4 linked regions of the Caenorhabditis elegans genome follow. The protein of the gene in region 2 interacts with the protein of the main gene of each other region in a pairwise test. Each region holds a gene or a part of one and is shown on either strand. Other genes may lie near its edges. The genes, in order: F36A2.10, mig-15, trmt-6 and ahcy-1.

Region 1 (2,814 bases), on a different chromosome or scaffold from region 2:
TCCAAAGGCTTTGGTTGTTCTTTTGGGACCTGTTCATGTATCATCCTTCCACGAGCAGAAATCAAATCTTTTGAAGTAAGTTATTGAAAACTGGGAATTCAGAGAATTTAATTTGAATTGAAATTTAGAGCCCGTTGTGCATGTTCTCGAGACCAAACCGAAGGGTTCATGTATGATGTGTCTCGAAAATGGTCCAAAGTTTGGCGAGATGTTCAAAAATTTGTGGAGAATGGAGTTACAGCCGTGAGTTATGATTTGTAAATAATTTAAAATTAATTCATTTTGTAGAGACCAACATTCGGAATGATCAGTTATCCAATGGTAACTATAACCTCAAGATATCCAAGTGGATTGTTCATTCGAGATAAGCCATTATTGAATCGAAGAGGTCATAATTACGCGACGAAGTGGTTATGGAATAGGCTGATTGGCGGAGATTTATATAATCTTTCCTCGGCTACACTTTCCCAGGATAACTATTTTTGTCCTTCTGTTGTAAGTTGAATGCATTATTAATGCGAAATATTCAAATTAACACTAACAACAGCATATTAAAAAAAACGTTTCAAATCACAATATTTTTATTCATAGTTATATCCCGGAAAGATCTCTTTTCTACCTTGCCATCAAGAAGCGACGATTATTTACTTGTGAGCCGCAGACACACGACGGGCGGTTTTGCTGCTTCCACTGAAAATTGACTATGAATATTAGAATAAAACTGAAAAAAACAAACCGCGATTTGATGGCTTCTGTCTTTTTCACTTTGACGGGAGAGATAGATCGAGCGGCTTTCGTGGTAACTGCCTTCTTTGGAGCACGCTTCTTTCCACGAGTGCTACTGCGGCTTCGAGATCTCGATCTGGAACGTGAGCGAGTAGACTTTGAACGTGAGCGGCGAGTAGATTTCGAACGGGATCTTGAACGGCTACGAGATGATGCCTTCTTTTTCAACTTCTCCTTCGGAATTCGAGATGAACTGGTCGAAGTCGAAGAGTCAGTGATCCCCATATGTCCACGAAGAGCAGCCTGAGAGCGAGTAACCGCTCCTTGGGTGCGGACCGTTGGTCGGACAGCTTGAATCGTCTTCTTTGTAGATCCTGGACCTTTAGATCCGACTTTTGCCACGGTAGTCTTTCTTGCCATTGATGGATTTCTTCAAGTATGCGAATATGTCGAACTAATGATTGTTTTGTGGTTTTGGTCGACCTTGTATAGACATTCATTTGACCGGGCGAAAAGAATAATTAAACCATGTCACGAGAAATTAGAAATGAAACATAAATAAATGTTTTTCAAATTTTTGGTTCAATTTTTTTTTTGAAAATTGTTTTTTTAAGGGTTGTCCGTATTTCCGAACGTATGAGAATCACAAGAGATGTTCCACTATGAGCCTTCAACAAGCAAAAGAAGAATTAATTGATATAAATGGGACTTTTACAAAGGTTTGTTTGATGTTGTGAATGCTTTTACTTTTAATTTTGTATATTCTGCATGTATTGATATTGTAGCCTCGTCGACGCTCGGTTCGGTTCTTGTACAACGTGGCAATGGTGGTTATAGGTGCAGCCTTTTGTGCTGCCTGCCTGCTCGGAACTTTCTTTTATCAAAAATCCAAAGCGGTATGCAATCTATACTAGAATTCCACTTTTAAATAGATGTTAATACATAATACTTTTAGGGTAATCATGGACGGTTCGAGATTGTGGAGGAACCACAGAAAAAACTGGAAGAAGCGCAGAAAGAAGAGCAAAAGGCGCTGCTTACAAGACAAAATACTCGAGCACAATCTGAACAGGTAAATTTAAATAAACAATTACTAAATATGGTAATATCTCAAAGCTCTCATGAAATAATTTCGTTTTTTTCTTTCAATAAGTTTCCGAAAAATGCGGTTTCCAAAGCGCAATATTCAGTTTGAAAACTTTTAAAAAACATCGCTACGTTTCAGGCGACAACTCCAACTGGTATCCAGCTTGCACCAATTCCTGTCGGACGTCACAAATCATTTTTAGGAACAATCAACGAAGGAAACCCGGATGTATAAATCTCAAATTGAGAATTCATTCGATTTATATTTAGTTAGTAATTGCTGTATTTTCATCTTGTCATCACTCACTCTCTGTAATTTTTATCCAATTATCCTGTAAATTTATCATTTACATCCTTGAATTCATTCCAACCCAGTTTTGCTTTACAACCTCAGTTTTATGGCATTTGTAAATAATTTATGCCAATCAATTCCGAAAATCTAAGTCACTTTCAACCTCCAGTCAACAGAGTTCCCTACGTACTTTACGATTAGTTTTTTTGCATTTATATCATTTATTACTTTAACGAGTTCCCTAAAATTGTGCCTTCAAAACCTACATTTCACTTATATTCCGTGTTTTTCATTGTTCTCCTTTGTGATAAATGATTGTATTTAAAATACTTTAGTATGCAATGCAAGCAAAGAATATGATTTGGAAAAGTATTCTATACATATGCGATAGAGAAAACAAATAATTCTGAGTGTGCATGTGATATAGTAATTTCTCAGAAATTTTTTTTTCAGTTTAAAGGCGCATGATGTTTTCCGAGTGTGTCTCGGCACGATATCAGCCATAAACCTTATTGCCCAGAGCCGTAGGCTCATGTCTTGTGATTCTCAAATGTTCCGAAATATTTATATTTCCGAAATAAGGAAAAACTATTTTCAAAATCTAGAACTTTTTTTAGAAGGCTACTGTAGGGTTACTGTAGTTCTATACTTTATCCTAGGATAGGTAGTTGGGATTGGTTGTGATAGTGTAGCTGTAGGAAAGTTTAGAA
Region 2 (8,073 bases):
TGCACTATCATTATGAGGCACATAAATGGAGTTTTCAAAAAAATCATACGAACGGAATAATTTCAACAATCTTCGTAAAGACAAAATATTAAAAAAGCTTACTTTATCATTTCTCTCACACAAGAATTTCAGCTTCTGAGCTTTCTTGTGCATAAACACTCCATCCAAATGGCCAGTGTCAACGGATCGAATCTCAATCGCCTTGTTGCCCCATCCCATAATCTGACCCGTTGAAATGTACGCCACACTGCTTGGCATTTCTCCCCATTGCAGGACTACATTCTTTGTCATCCTTCCGTACGTGTTAACATATACTCCCTCATCTGAAATAAGAATAGATAAAGAAGTGAATACTATTTTTGAAAACTCACTGTCATAACAGAGAAGGAGTTGCATTCCATTGGAGTTTGGAAGAACAACTATGCAATGTGGAGTCGTAGTTTGACCGCTCTAAACAATTAAAAATAAAAGGCTAACATTTAAATGATTCATCTTTGTTTTCAATTCTTATTCTGAAGTTATCATACCTGTGCTGGCGTATAAATATCATAGACCGCTGCAGAATCCAAATCAATTGCATGGAATCCACCTGTCGATCCATAAAGAACCTTGAGTCTTGCATTGTCTTCAACTGTCAAGTCGACAATCAAAGGAACATGACTCAAAGATCCGAATGACTTGAAACTCATGAACTTATGGTATGGCTTCGGTGCCCACGCATAAATCTCAATTGACGACTCTAGACCAACTACCAAGAACTTTATCCTTTCATAGCGAACAATTTTGAAATGAATGGCTCCTTGCAAATCTCCAACATTAACCCATCCATTTCTTTTTTCAGTCGTATTGGCGCTTCCAGCACCCTATAAGACATAAAATTAGATATATCCAAAATGTTTATAAACCATACCTCTGTTCTTAAAATTTTCTGACGGAGCCAGCTCAAATAATACACTCTGATTCTCCTTTTTCTTCCGGAAATTGTTGCGAGAATATTTTGTCCCTCGAGAACCGTCATCTGATCAAACCTTCTCCGACTGATGAGCGGGTAAACTTTTCCTTGTCCACTTCGATCCAAAAGCATAAGTCCACTGTCTGTTCCAATAAGCAAGTTAACTCCCCAGAGAGCTGCACACAAAATCTCTCCACTGAACTTTTTCTTGTACTTCCTGATTTCTGGAGCATCGTTCTCAGCTGGTGTTCCATTAGAATTTGGTGTCACATTAACTTGAACTTGGTTAATGTCTTGCGGTCTCCCTGGTCGATTTACTGTGCCACCACCGGCTCCGGCGCCACCACCAAAATATCCAACAAATGACTTTTCGCGATCACGATTCGAAAATGAATGCTGAATTGATGAACGGCTGTCAGAGTTTTGGAATCCATTTGGTTGCTGAAATCAAATCATGTTTTATTATTTATTAAAATTTATCTTCTGACAAAATATAATCACTTCAACAAAAATTTGTATTTTGATTTTTGATCATCAAAAATATATCCAAAGACATTGAAACAATAAAAAAAGAACCGCAACAAAGAAGAACTACATATCTTTCGAAAATTAAAATAACTGAATAACCAGCATCAAAAACAATAAAACACAGGATGATTTGTTTTCTGAAAAGATGACCAACAGTTTAACCAAAGGGGGAATAAATCGGAAAATCACAACAAATTCTGTCATTTCAAATCGAGTAACTTACATAAAAACTTCCAAATAGAGAGGCGCTCTACATAATTATAAAATTACATGTTTTATCGTTCAAATTTATGGTTTCCACTACATATATTATTCTCAAATCAAAACACTCACCTCATCTGCACGATCGTCACTCATCTGGCGTGTTTGGTCATTTATTTGACGGCGGAGTTGTGGCGATTTGGGCAAGAGATCTGGCAGGGCGCCGCGCGAGCTTGAGGCGTTCTGGAACCAAATAAGATGTTTCACGAGTGGTATAGAGCCGTCAACACTATGTATAACATTGGCCGAGAGAAACCAAAAAAAAATAGAGAAGGGACAACGTACAATTGGTTTGAACATAAGGGGCTCGTTGCCTTCCTCGTTGTCCGAGTCGCTGTCGTCGTCGTCAAGAGAGATAATTCCAGGGCGAATCTAGAAAATATTCTGTTTTTTAAATACGTTTTAAATTGAGTTGTGAAAGCTTATCTCAAATTTTCCCGGCGTCGTGGCAGTTCCTTTTATTTTAAAAGCACCTTTATGTTATTGCCAGTTATAATTTTTTGAAAATAGCTGCTACAGAAACAGTAGTGTTTTTATTTTTTTAATTGGCTTTTTCATATTTATTTAATTTTTAAAGTGAGCATCTTATTGATATTATCGATTTTTGAAATGCACCAATTTAGATAATTGAAAAAAAATAAAGAAACGAGTATATATTTTCGCTCATCTCACACTACCAACCTCTGGAATTTTCTTTCCCTTGTAAGCCCCATGGCCACTATTTCCATTTCCATTGCGACGCACATCTGACACAAGTGTATTCTCGCCATCTGTCGGTGTTGGCGGAAGCGGCTTATTCGGGCCGCGCAGTGTGCCTTCTCCGTTCATCATAATGTCCTTCAAATCGTCCCACTCCGCATCTGCTCCATTATCCAATTCACCCACGTCAATCGTGTCTGTGATAGACGAGATCGATGCCTCACGCGGTGGTGGCGCCGGTGGCGGTGGGCTCATGCTCTCCTCGCGACTGCGTCCATTGTGATGACCGCCCATTTTAGAAAGCTCACTGGCGAGCACGTCAAGATCTTCTGGTTTTACATGAGTGATCAGAAGGGGTTCTGACATTTTTCGAGACTGTTGTGGAGCAGGTACACTTGCAGAAACACGTGCAATCGGCATAGCGTGGTGAGCCTGACGTTCTCTTTCCCGTCGCTCTTCTCGTTCCGATCGTCTTCTTTTTTCATAGTTTGCTAAATCCGCCAAGTGTGGGGCTGCAGGATGGGATTGTTGTGGAGATCGCTGAAAATTTATTTACGTTATTTAAAACTTTTAAAACTACACTACAAACACTTTTAAGCCAGGTAAACAAACATTTTTTCTGTATAGCCTCCATTATTTTTATTATTAAAAAAAACCTCAACTGGTTATTTGAATCGTTCATACCCTACATGCTTCAACTTTGTTAATGTTTGTTATTATTAGTATATTATTAGTACTGAATGACTGTTTAGACAATATTAAAAGGAAGGTAAGAAAACAAAACCTGATGATGACTCACGGGCCGTGGCCTTGATGCTGGCGAATGACGTGGACCATCGGCAGCTCCTCTAGATGAAACAGCCCTCAGTTTGACTTCGGATGATTCTCGTCTTGGCTCAACGTATCTGAAGGTTTCAAATTTACAATGAAACTATTAAGAGAACAACGTCAAATCTGAACTGTGAAAAGTATTGAGTGAAAGTGGTGACATACCGAGACTGCTGATATTGGAATGGAGCTGGTGCTGGTTGCTGGGGCAGTCTCCTCAGCTGCTGAGCACCTGGTTCTGCAAAACCACGACTACTCTCTTGCAATTTTTGAAAGCCTTTACGCAATGTGTTATCCATTGGAATCATTGAACTGCTCTCCGAGTCATCTCGAATGCCCATTGAAGGACCACGATTGTTCGGAGATGGTTCATCATCTTCACTGCCGGAATACTCGTAGTCTGCATCATCCTTCTTCACCCGCCGATTTCGGTCAATATGCTCTTTGATTGAATGCCGGATCGTTTGCTCATGTGGTTGTTCTTTGATAAATGGATGACGAAGTAGGGCTCCAGTGTAGGGCCTTTGATGGTAATCCTTCACAAGTACAGTCTCTGAAATTTAAAACTTGACCTGCATCATTTAGACTTGAAAATATTGTTTGGAATGTACTCTATTTGCCCGTGCGTGCTTCCTTAAAATTTCAGCAAAAACCCATTTGCAAAACTGTTTCAAAAATACGAATAGCGACACATTTTTACAATTTATTGTTTCATATAATCGGACTGAAAAATTATCTGCAAAAAAACTCACCAATAAAAGTCTCGAACTTCTTGGTCCACTTCTTATTTCTTTTCAACTTTGGCGGCGGATTTCTTGGAATTAAAAATAACGCTCTCATCGGATGCATATCGCACAACGGTGGATGACCTTCCGCCATTTCTAATGCCGTGATTCCTAAATTGGATAACAATAAGATTTTGAAACTCCATGAGTCATTTTCCATTTATACAAAACCCCTGTTTGGTTTTTTTTTGCTTTTTTAATGCTGTTGTACTACGAATTTTGTGCCCATTTACACATAAATGCAAATAATGAAAGAAAGCAGACACAAACACAACGAAAATGTCCGGAGGGAGATATGTTGAGGGAATTGAAGGAGACGGAGCAAATATTGGAATAGTGAGAAAAAACATCAAAATAGTATGTTCAAGAACAGACTATAGCTCTACTAGAACACTTTTGGAAATTAAATGACGTTGAATATGTATATTAAAAGTTTCAAATTAGAAAAGAACTTAGTTTTCAGTGTTCATTTAGCTAAAGTTTTCCAAAAAATTAGTTTCTCGAAATAGTAAGCTGATAGCCATATTTTTTTGTTGTCAGCTTTCTAGAGAAGGAAATCAGCGTTAGTTTTCTGCAATTTACCTCAATTTGATTATTATTGTAAGTAGAATTAAATTAATAAAATTGAGAAATATATTTTGGGTGCGTTGCTAAATTCAGTGTTTAAATCAGTGAAATGCTGATACCAAGCCTTATAAAAACTTTTTATATTACACATCGTCATTACTTACCCAAAGACCATAAATCCGAACGTGAATCATAAGTAGCTTCAGGGCTTTCATCACATGCAATAACTTCGGGAGCCATCCAGTATGGTGTTCCAATAAATGTGTTTCTTCTTCCAACTGTCTTGTCAAGTTGTGCAGATACTCCGAAATCTACCAGCTTCACCTCAGCACTGTCCGTAAGAAGCACATTTTGACCTTTTATGTCACGATGGATAACTTTGCTTTGATGCAAGTGGTAAAGTCCCTATAAGAAATACATTTGAAAATGTCTGAGAATCGGTAAAGACAAACCCTCAAAATTTCTCTACAAATATATGCAATCCATTCTTCTTTCAAAGAGCCTCCCTTTGTGTTTTTTACAAGATCGGTGATAGAACCACTTCCACAAAACTCCATTACCAGCCATAATTGATCGTGTTTTCCGGTCGAAGAGGGCAGCTTTTTGATGAAAGCACCATAATAAGTGGCTACGTTCCGGTGGTGGGAGTGCTGCAAATCAATTTGATTCTTCCGTGTAAGACCTCATCGATGTGTTCTCCTTTTTTTGAAATTTCTTTTTCACACTATTTCAAAACTGTCTTCAAAATAGCTTTCGTTTTTAAGTTTTCATCAATTCATACAAATATAATTTATAAATGTATTTATCAGAAATTAGATATTTCTTTTTTTCTTTTTAACTGATTTAAAATTCTGGACAACTTAATAATTCGAAAATAGGTTTAATTCCATTTCTCATATTTGGGGAATTTTGAAAGGAATATTTTTGTTTAACCAAAACACATACCTTCTTTAGCATATTAATTTCTAACTTAATTTCATCTTCTTCATCTTCGTTGATATTCATAATTTTGATTGCAGCAAGTTGCGCTGTTTTAACGTGTCGACCCTTATACACTTGCCCGTAAGTTCCATTTCCAACAACCTCAATTAGCTCGAAGATTCCAGCCGGGTCCTGAAAAAAATCATTGTGATTTCCGTGTTGTTTGGTGTAGTTTCGCATTTTCTTTCCCCTACTCAGCTGTAAATATTTCTGAGAAGAGAGCAACATGATTTTTTAAAATTGTTACACCACACACACACACTCGAAGAAAGAAAGTGGGACTTCGTCTGTGTGTGTGTGAATGTTGCGAAATACACTTTTTCTTAGTTTTGAGACAAAAATTTAAAGCTGACAAAAATTGATTGTTTCATTCAACTTCAAAAGGTAGTTTTCTATAGAAACACCATTAATTTCACGGGCGATAACCCAGACTGAATAGAAAAATTAACATTTTTCAGTAAATTCATTGTGCGCATTCTACTTGATGTATGGGTGGTCACGAATACTCACCCTTAGAGAATTCAAATCAATCTCGTCGAGTCCTGATGACGACATGGTTTTGGGTGCTGTGAGCGGCTTGGAGCAAGCCGACACTTAAACCACACAATGACTCCTTGAATTTAACTTGAATCTGAAAAAAAAAACACTTATTGTAAATTACAAGAAACAGGAAGTATAACAAAACAGAAAAAAATTTTCAGATTATATCAAAAGTAACAAAAACAGAAATATATTGTTTTCATCTAAAGACTCAAAATAAAATATTGTTTCCAAGATTATTACGAAGCAACCATTCTGTTTCAGAAAAAAAAACACATGTTGTGATAAAGAAAATTAGATCGATAAGGAATGCATCATCAAAGACGTCGGAGAAAGACCAGTGGACGGCACAAGGAGGACGGACGCGTCCAGCATTGTTACACAGCCGGGAAATAGAGGAAAAAAATGAGAATGCACAAATTGTTTAAATGTGTTCAAAAAGTAGAAAAGTCTTAAGTGTTTTTTCTGCAAAAACAATATATTTTTCTTATAATGTTGGAAAGAATTATCAATTTTTAAGTTTCAGACAACCGTTGAATAGGATAACTCATATTCTGTTGCTGCAAAAAAAATTTCCTAAAAATGCTCGCAATTTTAAATTTTTCTGATAGCAATCAAGACGTGCAAATTTGAATTGACAAGCGGTCAAAAGACATCATCGGGTCAAGCAGACAAGGTTGTGAAAGAGAGTGAGGGATGATCGAAGGCCGCAAGAAATTCGCCTTGATTCCGAAAAGAAGGCCTCCGACGTCCGCCTTTCTCTCTCTCTCCATTTCATTCCCCCGCTCGTTTTCCCGAATAATGATGAAGGACGGACGAAGAATGAAGAAGACGCTGGTGGAGAAGAATGGAAACAGCGCCTGTCCATTCCCAAAGAAGACACACAAAAAGGCAACAGCAGCATCACATATAGCTGCCGACTGAGTGAGAATAGCGGGATGCCTCTGTTTGGTGATCTACATTTATTATATTGATTTGAGATGAAATGATGCTTATCTTCTAAATAGATATTAATGATGGTGAATAAATGAAGGGGGATCGAGTAAGGGGTAGATGTATCAATTTAACGAATATTCTCTCCAATGGCCGATTAACAATGATTTAGCGATGGTATTTGTCTCTACGACCACTAGATCCTAGTGACGCTCATGGCTAAAAAAAACAAGGTTATGGCACATTGAGGTATATTTCCTATTTAGACGTTGCAAAAAGAAGGAGAGGTTTTAAATTACAAACAAAAACTATTCTTGTGGAAACGTTTTATTTAGCCTACATAGTATCCATTTCGGGAACAATTTTTTCAGAAGAAAAAAAGGATTGTATCAAAAAACCATAAAATATTAATATATTGCCTGATTTTTTTAATTTACAACATGAATCTATTGCCAAAATTATTATTTATTGAAAATTTTGAATTGCTCACAACATGTTCTGATGTAGAATTCATATTTTGAAATATATGTTAATTTCAAAACACGTGTTTTCATTTAAAAGTTTTCCATGTCCTGCACCGAATGCTTTGCTTTGACAGCTTATAAGCTATATCTTTTTCTGAATATCTTTGTAGCTTATTAATTTAGAAATGGTAATTTACTATGCCTAAAAATGAAAAAAAAAACTCCACACGTTTTTATTTAATAATCAATTTCAAAAAATTAAGGGGAAATAATACACAAGTACCATTAATTTTTATAGCTTATGATACTGAATTAAAATATGAAGTAGCAAAATAATTACATGGTGTGTAAAAATGATCAAGAAAATACGACAAGTTTTGATTCGCATTTCGAAGTTCCCGCAACTTTTTTTATTTTCGACAAAAAACAACAATGTGAATATTGCCATTTTTGAATTAAAGAATTTTCAGAGACATTCTTCAAATGAAAAACAATGAATGCGAATTTTTTACAGTTACGTTTTAAAATAGACAAT
Region 3 (5,013 bases), on a different chromosome or scaffold from region 2:
GAGCCACTCCAGGCACATAAAATCCTTGCTCGAGAGGTATAAGAGTGGCGAGCACCAAAAGGGTGCTAGTTCGTAAATAAGCCATTAGCTGTAAATAATTTTGAGCTTATTTGAAAGAAAAATGTAATAGGAAGGGAATTAAAAGCAATATATTGACAATTTCTTAACCTAAATATTTGTAAAGCCCGTCAATTAATTAATTAAATTGAAATATACATAGCTAGAACTCAAAATACCGTTTAAAAGAGAAAATATTTCAAATATTTATAATATTCAAAAGCCTAGCAGAAACGTGGATAATCGCGCAAAAGCTTATCGGCTCGGCGAATCTCTTGTTGACACGCATGCGGCGCGGTATTGTGGGTGGGGCTAAATGGCGTGGATTGGTAATTTGCAAGTGTGACGCGCACTTTTTTGCCTATATTTGTTCAGTCAGAATTATGGCATTTTCCAGGAAGATATAATGGTTTGATAAAGAAAATAAATATTGAAGTATTGAACTGTACATATTATTAAATTTTAAGTGTAAAAGATTGAGGAAATATGCAATTTACTCGGAAAATTCAACAATAAAAAATAACAAATAAAATGCGAATACGGTGATCTGAAAAAAGAAAAACAACAATAACAAAAATAATAATAAATTATTGGTCAATAACTTTGATTCCAGTGAGAATATGTCCGCCAGCGACGTGCTGAGCCATTAACGGATGAGTTCTATCAGGTAGAACTTGCATTACACGACACATTTGATCAGTAAGAACTAAATTGATTGTTTGACGCTTTGACAACCAATCGTATGCTGAGATGAGGATCTGGAACAGAAAATAGTTTTTAAAAGGTTTTTTGAGTAACTGGAGCCAGAATTCAGTTAAAATGTAATCTGGTCACTTTAATGTGAAAAAAAGATAATATTTTATATAATTTTTACATTTTGATGAGGAGAGTAGATGACAATCGTCCCAGATGGTGCCAGTTTGGGATAAAGAAGCTCCAAAACACTGATAGGATCGACAGTACGACTTCCAATAATTAAAGAATGAATTTGTTCATCATTAATCAAATCGATTCCTCTCTTCTCCCGATCCAAACGATCATTTCGGCGAGCAAGAGCCTCTAGATCTTGATCCTATAAAATTTAAAAATTTATTTCCATCTAAAACGTTGTCCTAATTTTTCAATTACCTCGATTTTCTCAGGTTCCTTATCTCCATTGACTTCCTCCAAATTATCATCATCCCCATTTACAGCCTTTCGGTTATTGTCATATGGCAGATGTTTGCCTGCTAGAACACACTTAATTCGAACCGGTAAAAATGTGGAAAGTGTGTTATCATCGTAATTCATAGAATGAACACAGGGAATTGATTGAGCTACCGCACCCTGTAAAACCAATATATTTTGAAAGGATGTTTTTTTTCGAAGAATAAACCCTATGAATATGAATACAAGCACCAGTTCCACCGAGTCTTTCAATAACTGCAGAGGTAATAAGTCCAAGTGTTTGTTCAAATACGACGACATTCTTTCCATGGTGAAGCCCTGCCATTTGAAGAATTAATGCTAATTGATCAGCACGAAGCATCGCAAGACGATCAGGATCTTTCAAATAATAAGCTTTAGCCAGAAGACGGATGGTTGGACGGAGGATTAATACTCTGAAATTATTATTCGCAGAAGTAGAAATCGGCAAAACCCCACTTTTATCAATAAAAAACTCAAAAGCTTAAAATTCAAAAATAATTTAAATTTAAAAACAATAGCTGACGTACCGATCACTATGTTTTTTGGCTTTTCGTTTGATATATTTGCTCTGTGAAAAGACAGTTCTTGTCTGAAATGATGCTGAACCTTCAACAAGTTTGGCAACCATTTCCTGTCCACTGACTCCTTGCTTCTTCATTTCCAATACGGCATCCATTTCCAATTTTTGACGTTTTTGTTCGGGCTCAAGTTTAAGTGCTGAAGGCGCGATAACAACACGTGGATCTAAAGATGGTTCCGATGGTTCTGTTACTTCAGGATCTATGGATGAGGTGGCAACGGATGCTTCTTGAAGTTGAAGTTCTTCAATTAGACGATCAACTGACATTGGAAGGCATTGATTATTGGATACTTCGAATAGACCATGAGGCTTTCCAAATGCACTGAAAATATCATTCTTTCATTACAGTATCTTTTACCATCATTGTTCGGGTACCACATACAGTGCCGGCCTAAAATCTATCCAAAACCTTTTTTTTTTAGTGAATTTACAAGTTTTCGAATTTTTATAGATCTTAAAGAAGGAGGAACGGTTCTGGGTATTTTGGACGTATATAAGAAAAACCACAAAATAGTTTGCAGAGCATTCAGTTTACTTTTCCAATAGAAAAAACCACTTTAACCCCATTAATATTATCAGTTGAATCAATTGAACGTAGGGTCTGCTGCCCTTTTCTTTGAATTAATCAAACTGTTTGTCAAAGTGTTTGCACAACGATTTTTAATCGTCGAAAAAAAAGAAAAATTTATAATCGGTTAGTGACAAGGGGCGAGAATTGATATGTGACTTTTGAAAAACGGGGCACGTGTTTTATGTTTAGAATGCACTTTGACGTCACTGTGGTTTTTTTGTGATCAAAGTTTCATTTGAAAGAGCTCGAAAATTGGAAGTTATTCGGAAAATTATAATTAATTTTAGAACTGGAAACCTTACCTATCGGCTACAAACTTCAGCTTCTCAATGAGAATCTTTTGCTTTGGAGTAAACCGGACTATGCGACTTTGTTCGCCATCAATCTGAAAATTATTTTTTTTGCTGTAATTTTGTTCTTCAATTCAATTTTAATGTGAAAATTGAACTTTTTCCAATTCAAAAAATACCTTTTGCACGATAAGATACTCTCCACTTTTTATGAGTTTTTGTGATGTTTCCGCAGGTTCGGTTTCCATGTTTGATCTGAAAAATTTGAATATTCAATTGAAAATCGACGAGACGGCTACGAAAGGCAACAGAGAACGAACGATAAAGTAGTCAAAGAATATCGGGAAAAATGTGATAAAAGAGGGAAAATGAGAGATTGCAAATATTCGAATATTTGTTAGGAGAGGTATTGAATTGGTTTAAAGTTGAACTTTTACATCTTTTTTGAAATAGTTTTTTGTACTTTTAAACTGGGCAGTTTTTGAGTTCAAAACATTTGGAATAGCTTTCTCGGACTATTCAGATGCAATTGGATTCCGGACTGTAAGCTAAGTGTATTTTTTGAGAAAAAAAACTGAATAAGACAAAAAGCATTCAACAAAAATGTTTTTTTTGCACCCAGAAATATGTTTTTCGAAACAAAAACATCAATTGAGCCCAGGGTGAGGGTTTTTAAAAATTTTTTACTAAAAACCGAAATATTTTAGTTTTTCTTTCGATATTTCTAAAAAATGCAGTTTTTCAAAAAATAGCTTAAAATATTGGAAATTTTTATTCAGTTTGGACAAATTTTTTTAATGCTTTTTTTCGTCAATTTAAACAAAATTTAATATAAAATTTATTTTTATGGTTACTCTTCTGTATTTTTTTTTATTTTCAGATTTTTTGAATTAAAATAATTCTGAAATCACCGATTATTATGGGAAATTTGGTATTTCTTTTAGAAAAATTTTTGATGTGTATTGTGTCTTCTGTATCCAATTACAATGTCACAGTTTAGAGGAACAAGTACACAGAGAAGAAACTGTAGAGCGATCAACTGACGAGATGAAATTCAACGTGTGTTCATAATTGATAGTTGATATTTAGTGAACGATCATTCTTTGACGAACAATTTCTCTGTATCTTTTTGATTTGTTTCTCTTTAAATAAGATTGTAAATATAACATTTTTGAATTGGTTTCCATTTTATTTTTGAAAAAAAATCAATTTCCTTGTCAACAATATTTTGTTGATAATTGCCGCATTTCAAAAGAAAAAACTAGTTTTTCGTCTTCTACTCAACTTTTCTATTCTCCACTCTATCATACAAAGAATTATTAACAATACCCTAAACTCATCTTATTTGCTTTTTAAAGACTTTCAACCCACCGATCCGCGATTTGGGCGGTCTCTCGAAAAATTGTGATAAGACGATAAATCATCAAATAGAGATAGAAAGTGGTAGTGACGATAATAAAAGTGTGTGAAGGCGATCTTTAAAGATTGCTTGTTTGCCAACTGCCAACCATTATTGTTATAAAAGATACCCGAATGTTCTGATCAAGGTTACGTTATCAGTGAGGTTTTCCACGGAACTTTGGAGTCTTGTGATCTTTTTCAACTTTTTCTCTCAATCCGGTTATCACACATGTTCAAAACGTATTATTTTTGTTTACCGAAAATAGAAAAGTTCCTGAAATTTCGACTTAAATTTAGAAAACCTGGTAATAATGAACTTATATTATCGAAAAAATACGATCGCACAAATTTCTCATAATTTTGATCTACCTGTTGAACTTGACTCCGCTCCCAATCTTGATGCCGTTGTTATTTTGTTGTGGCTGTTTTATCAAAGGAAGGGGAGGAGCCTAGTCAACAAGGTAGATCAAAAATAAATTATGAGAAAATTGTTCGATCGTATTTTTTCGATAATATGACAGAAAGGGATTACTGTAGTATATCGTCAGATTTTACTTCCCAATTCAAGTATTGAACAGTACATAGAGCTTACAATACGAACTGAAAATAATCACATCTGATGTATGATTTTACTGGAACACCGCAAACCGATATTATTTGTCACCTGTCTAACTGAAAGTAAAAATGAACTTTTGTATGTTCACCCATTAGTCTAGATTTCCCATATAACTCCCACAGTGCATAACTAAATCCATCAGAGTTTGTATTTAAATTCGGAACCTCATGTTTTATTTCACAGTTTTATCATCATTTCCCGCTCATGTTTCCCAAGTGATAGAGACCAACTGATTCGTAACGTTTTGATGAACTGGTCATTTTGTGAACATTCAAATTCATTCTCATTGCTTCTAGGAGCCTAGGTCTAT
Region 4 (4,118 bases), on a different chromosome or scaffold from region 2:
TGAGACGATCTTTTTCTGCACGCATGAGGCTAATTTTTGTGAATCCTTGTGTTGTCATGCCGCGCACCTGAATCAGTTTATCGAAATAATATTTTTTAAATCATTTTTCGAACCTCCGTCTTCCAACTTCTTGCATGATCTATTAATTGACTGAATGAACGAGTCTCAAATCTTGCCGGCTCATTTTCCCTCATTTTCGTGTGGGTAAGTTGTTTTAGTACTGAAAAATCAATAAATGGGGAAACATTTTGCAGGTTATAGAGAAACTGATAAAAATTGAACATCATGGGAATTTCTGTAAATATAAAAAGTGAAACACGAAATGAGTGAAGCGTTGAGAGAAATAAAGAACTTATTTATCAATAGAGCGCCCTTCACCCCGACAAATTTAAAATTTGTTTTTCCCTGCTTGAAATTTCCCGGGCGTAGATCTGAAAATTCGATAAACTCACGCCTAATCAAACGTTTTCAGAATAATTTCTCAAACAATCGTCAAAGTTACTCCATAAAACATTTATGTCCAAAAGACAAACAACAGAACCAAATCAACGAGTTGAAGAAAAACGACTAAATCAGGCGATTATGTATTTGGGGGAAAAGCGGGTAGATGGGGAACAATACAACCAGTTCAAGATCATATGAAGTTTGAGGGCAATACAATTTAAAACAGTTAAAAAAATATCCGTATGGGGTAGAACCAACAAAATTAATATCTGTAGTGGTCTGGCTTGTATGGTCCGGCAACTGGAACTCCAAGGTATGAAGCTTGCTCGTCGGAAAGCTTAGTAAGCTTAACTCCCAATTGAGCCAAGTGAAGATAAGCGACCTCCTCGTCAAGGGTTTTTGGAAGAACGTAGAGTCCGAGCTTGTATTCTTGTGGAGTTCCGAACTTGGTCCAGAGCTCAACTTGAGCGAGAACTTGGTTGGTGAAGGAGTTGGACATGACGAAAGATGGATGTCCGGTGGCACATCCAAGGTTGACAAGACGTCCTTCGGCAAGGAGGATGACGTGACGTCCGTTCTTGAGGGTGTAACGGTCAACCTGAAAAAAGTTGGTTCAAACTTCTATCGATGATTGTGAATTCATCCTAATTCTGAACATTTTCTTACCTGTGGCTTGATGGTGTCCTTCTTGGTGGCATTGGTGTTGAGCCATTTGACGTCAATCTCGCAATCGAAGTGACCAACGTTGCAGACGATAGCGTCATTTGGAAGAAGCTCGAAGTGCTTTCCGGTAACGATGTCCTTGCATCCAGTGGTGGTGACAATGATGTTAGCCTTTGGTGCAGCCTCCTCGAGGGTGGTCACTTCGTATCCTTCCATAGCGGCTTGAAGAGCATTGATTGGATCGATCTCGGTGACAATGACACGGGAACCGAAAGCCTTGAGGGAAGCAGCAGATCCCTTTCCGACATCTCCGTATCCAGCGACAACGGCTACCTTTCCGGCGAGCATAACATCAGTGGCGCGCTTGATTCCGTCTGGGAGAGACTCGCGGATTCCGTACAAGTTGTCGAACTTGGACTTGGTGACAGAGTCGTTGACGTTGATAGCTGGAACCTTAAGGTCTCCCTTGGCGAGCATCTTAGCCAAGTTGTGGACTCCAGTGGTGGTCTCCTCGGAAAGTCCGCGGATTCCAGCGAGGTATTGTGGGTACTTGGCGTGAACCAAGTTGGTAAGATCACCTCCATCATCAAGGATCATGTTGAGTGGTTGTCCATCCTTGAAGACGATAGTTTGCTCAATGCACCATTCGTATTCCTCGTCGGTCTCTCCCTTCCAGGCGTAGACTGGGACTCCGGTCTGGGCAATGGCGGCAGCAGCGTGATCTTGGGTGGAGAAGATGTTGCAGGAAGACCATTGGACCTGGAAAAAGTTTCGATTTTTCAAACCAACTTATTTTAATACTAATTCTTTCAAAAAACAAGATTTACCTCAGCTCCGAGAGCAGTAAGAGTCTCAATGAGAACAGCGGTTTGGATGGTCATGTGGAGACATCCGGCGATTCTAGCTCCCTTCAATGGCTGGGATGGTCCGTACTTGGAGCGCATAGCCATAAGTCCTGGCATCTCATTCTCAGCAAGGATGATCTCCTTGCGTCCGAAATCGGCGAGCTTGATATCAGCGACCTTGTAAGCTGGCTTAGACTGGGCCATTGCGAATGTGTTTTACCTGAAATAATTAGAAATTTATTTTAATCTGCAGGACGGATAGGGAAGAGAAGCGAAGAAGTCCATAAGACGGAAATAAAGAAAAAAAATGAGACACTTTTTTGAAAGTTCGGCTGTGAAAAGGATAAAACAAGAGTTTGTGAAGAAAAAAAAACTGATTGTGAGAAGGTTATTTTCCAATTTATAAGTTGTTTTTGTTTATCAGAGAATCGAAAATAAACAAAAACAACCTTGGCTTACGTGGATTGCCAAAACATCAATTTTTAAATGGAAAAAAACAATAATCCATGTGTAAATAAGTAAACCCGAAAATACGGAAGATAGTTAGTGGACGAGAACTTTTTTAGGTTTTAGAGTTTAATATGTGGGAAAATCTATTAAATCTGGAACCATGACGAAGAAATTTACAACTAGTCGGTCTTTTAAACATAAAACAAAGCGAGGAACTTTGCAAAAACTTTTCCCAAAAAGAAAGCTTTTTCGAAATTTCTACTGTTTCGATCAAAGGCGCAGTGATTTTTCTCAGTGGGTCCCGCCACGAAGGCCTAAAATTTGGACTTACTCGCCGCGAAACGATGATTTTTATTTGAAAATTACTAAAGAAAATTTAAGAAAAAAACGTATTGACACATGAGGTGAGATATGCATCCTGCGATGCTCGTCAACCGTCAAGACAGCGTTATTTATGGAGAATTGGCGATAAAATCTTGATAGCCTTGTAAAATGTAAGATTACTTTGGCCGATAGCTTTGGTAAAGTGACCTTCCTGAATTCCACACCACCGCAGATTTCTTTGAAGATTCTGTACGACCTAGAAAAGGATATCACGTTTCAGATTAAATTTTAGGATTCGTCGATGATAGATTTCCCCCACTTTCCTCTTGTTCTAGAATGATTCAGTACCTTTTCAGTCTGAAAGGGAAAAATCACTTTCTTTTTTTTTTGCTAGCCCGTATTCCTACGGCGTTATTTCTGGCCCAACGGCGGCCTTTTATAGCACCCAAATGCCTGTGCCACATCAGTCTCCGCCCACTTTTCGTCGTGGATGTGCTGCGTCTCTCATTCTCCGCTTCTGTGTACTTTTCTATGTTAGATGTGCAGGAATGATAAGAGCTTGAGAGAAAGCAGAGAAAGAGGAAAGCGAGGGAAATTCAAAAATTAATTTTCTATTTTTGACACATTTTTTACAATGTGGCGCCTCAATTTGGATAATGTAATTTTTCATGCAAGACGTCGACCGGGACAGTTTCAAAATTTCTAAGTGATATGTTCTGAAATATAACTGTGTTCTGAAATATAATTTTGCTCATTACAATTAAAACTAAAATTTTCTTTGCAAATCTCGTTAAATTCTAGAAGAATCTATTAGAGATCTATGTATCTCTTACTTTCTATCATCCAAGGTCACTTCTTATCGTAGTTCTTTTTTCGAAATGCCCTCCGCCGCCAATTTCGTAGACAATTAGGTTTCGCTTATCAATTTTGCAAAGTTCAGGTGGTTTTAATGTCTAATAGAATTCTATAAACTTTTTAATGTTTTAATCTCCTAGAATAGACTTCATTTAATTTTCCAAATAAAATTTCTTTTGGTTTTTCCAAAATCCTCGAATGCTGAGAATCCGGTGCAGTTTCTCTGAGATATCTATTTCCCGGAAAATGATTTTTGTAATTTAGTATCGGAAATTTTGGCAAGGCGAATTTTTCTAGACCCACTTCGACCGTATACCTCATCTGGAATTCCAGACAGCTGATCAGCTACACATCACGCCATTCACAATGTCTCATATTTTATGTTTCTTCTCTTATCTCAATGATTATATCATGGTGATCTTGTTAACAATCGGCGCACGAGAAACAAAAAAGGAGTAAAAGAATATTAGTGAAAGGTAAAAAGGAGAGATTTCCTGAAAAAATCTTTTAAGAAAGTTATTTAACAATTTATAATTT

The links.
Region 1: the proteins of mig-15 (region 2) and F36A2.10 interact in a two-hybrid assay, tested with the Caenorhabditis elegans proteins (one large-scale study listed by BioGRID).
Region 3: the proteins of mig-15 (region 2) and trmt-6 interact in a two-hybrid assay, tested with the Caenorhabditis elegans proteins (one large-scale study listed by BioGRID).
Region 4: the proteins of mig-15 (region 2) and ahcy-1 interact in a two-hybrid assay, tested with the Caenorhabditis elegans proteins (one large-scale study listed by BioGRID).

Annotation. Positions count from the first base shown.
Region 1 is NC_003279.8:8,818,933-8,821,746, forward strand, and holds F36A2.10 (DNA-binding protein), read right to left. Parts: upstream 1,172-2,814; 5' UTR 1,147-1,171; coding exon 737-1,146; intron 691-736; coding exon 645-690; 3' UTR 567-644; downstream 1-566. Other genes in the region: F36A2.9 (Lipase_GDSL domain-containing protein), read left to right, coding at 1-75, 129-243, 289-495, 1,341-1,445, 1,512-1,622, 1,682-1,798, 1,952-2,047.
Region 2 is NC_003284.9:10,422,419-10,430,491, forward strand, and holds the start of mig-15 (Serine/threonine-protein kinase mig-15), read right to left. Parts: upstream 6,157-8,073; coding exon 6,112-6,156; intron 5,734-6,111; coding exon 5,566-5,733; intron 5,271-5,565; coding exon 5,073-5,270; intron 5,026-5,072; coding exon 4,785-5,025; intron 4,165-4,784; coding exon 4,021-4,164; intron 3,822-4,020; coding exon 3,434-3,821; intron 3,346-3,433; coding exon 3,225-3,345; intron 2,981-3,224; coding exon 2,423-2,980; intron 2,114-2,422; coding exon 2,027-2,113; intron 1,925-2,026; coding exon 1,814-1,924; intron 1,731-1,813; coding exon 1,704-1,730; intron 1,394-1,703; coding exon 911-1,393; intron 864-910; coding exon 528-863; intron 451-527; coding exon 372-450; intron 324-371; coding exon 103-323; intron 1-102. UniProt on the Caenorhabditis elegans protein: Involved in cell migration and signal transduction. Important in several developmental processes including epidermal development, Q neuroblast migrations and muscle arm targeting.
Region 3 is NC_003279.8:9,141,436-9,146,448, forward strand, and holds trmt-6 (tRNA (adenine(58)-N(1))-methyltransferase non-catalytic subunit TRM6), read right to left. Parts: upstream 2,942-5,013; 5' UTR 2,935-2,941; coding exon 2,866-2,934; intron 2,782-2,865; coding exon 2,699-2,781; intron 2,148-2,698; coding exon 1,773-2,147; intron 1,659-1,772; coding exon 1,433-1,658; intron 1,384-1,432; coding exon 1,186-1,383; intron 1,130-1,185; coding exon 932-1,129; intron 816-931; coding exon 645-815; 3' UTR 536-644; downstream 1-535. Other genes in the region: ZK858.6 (Transmembrane 9 superfamily member), read right to left, coding at 1-88, 4,058-4,162, 4,195-4,197.
Region 4 is NC_003279.8:6,834,523-6,838,640, reverse strand, and holds ahcy-1 (Adenosylhomocysteinase), read right to left. Parts: upstream 2,173-4,118; 5' UTR 2,157-2,172; coding exon 1,935-2,156; intron 1,867-1,934; coding exon 1,111-1,866; intron 1,043-1,110; coding exon 707-1,042; 3' UTR 501-706; downstream 1-500. Other genes in the region: dpf-3 (Dipeptidyl Peptidase Four (IV) family), read right to left, coding at 1-67, 114-287. UniProt on the Caenorhabditis elegans protein: Adenosylhomocysteine is a competitive inhibitor of S-adenosyl-L-methionine-dependent methyl transferase reactions; therefore adenosylhomocysteinase may play a key role in the control of methylations via regulation of the intracellular concentration of adenosylhomocysteine.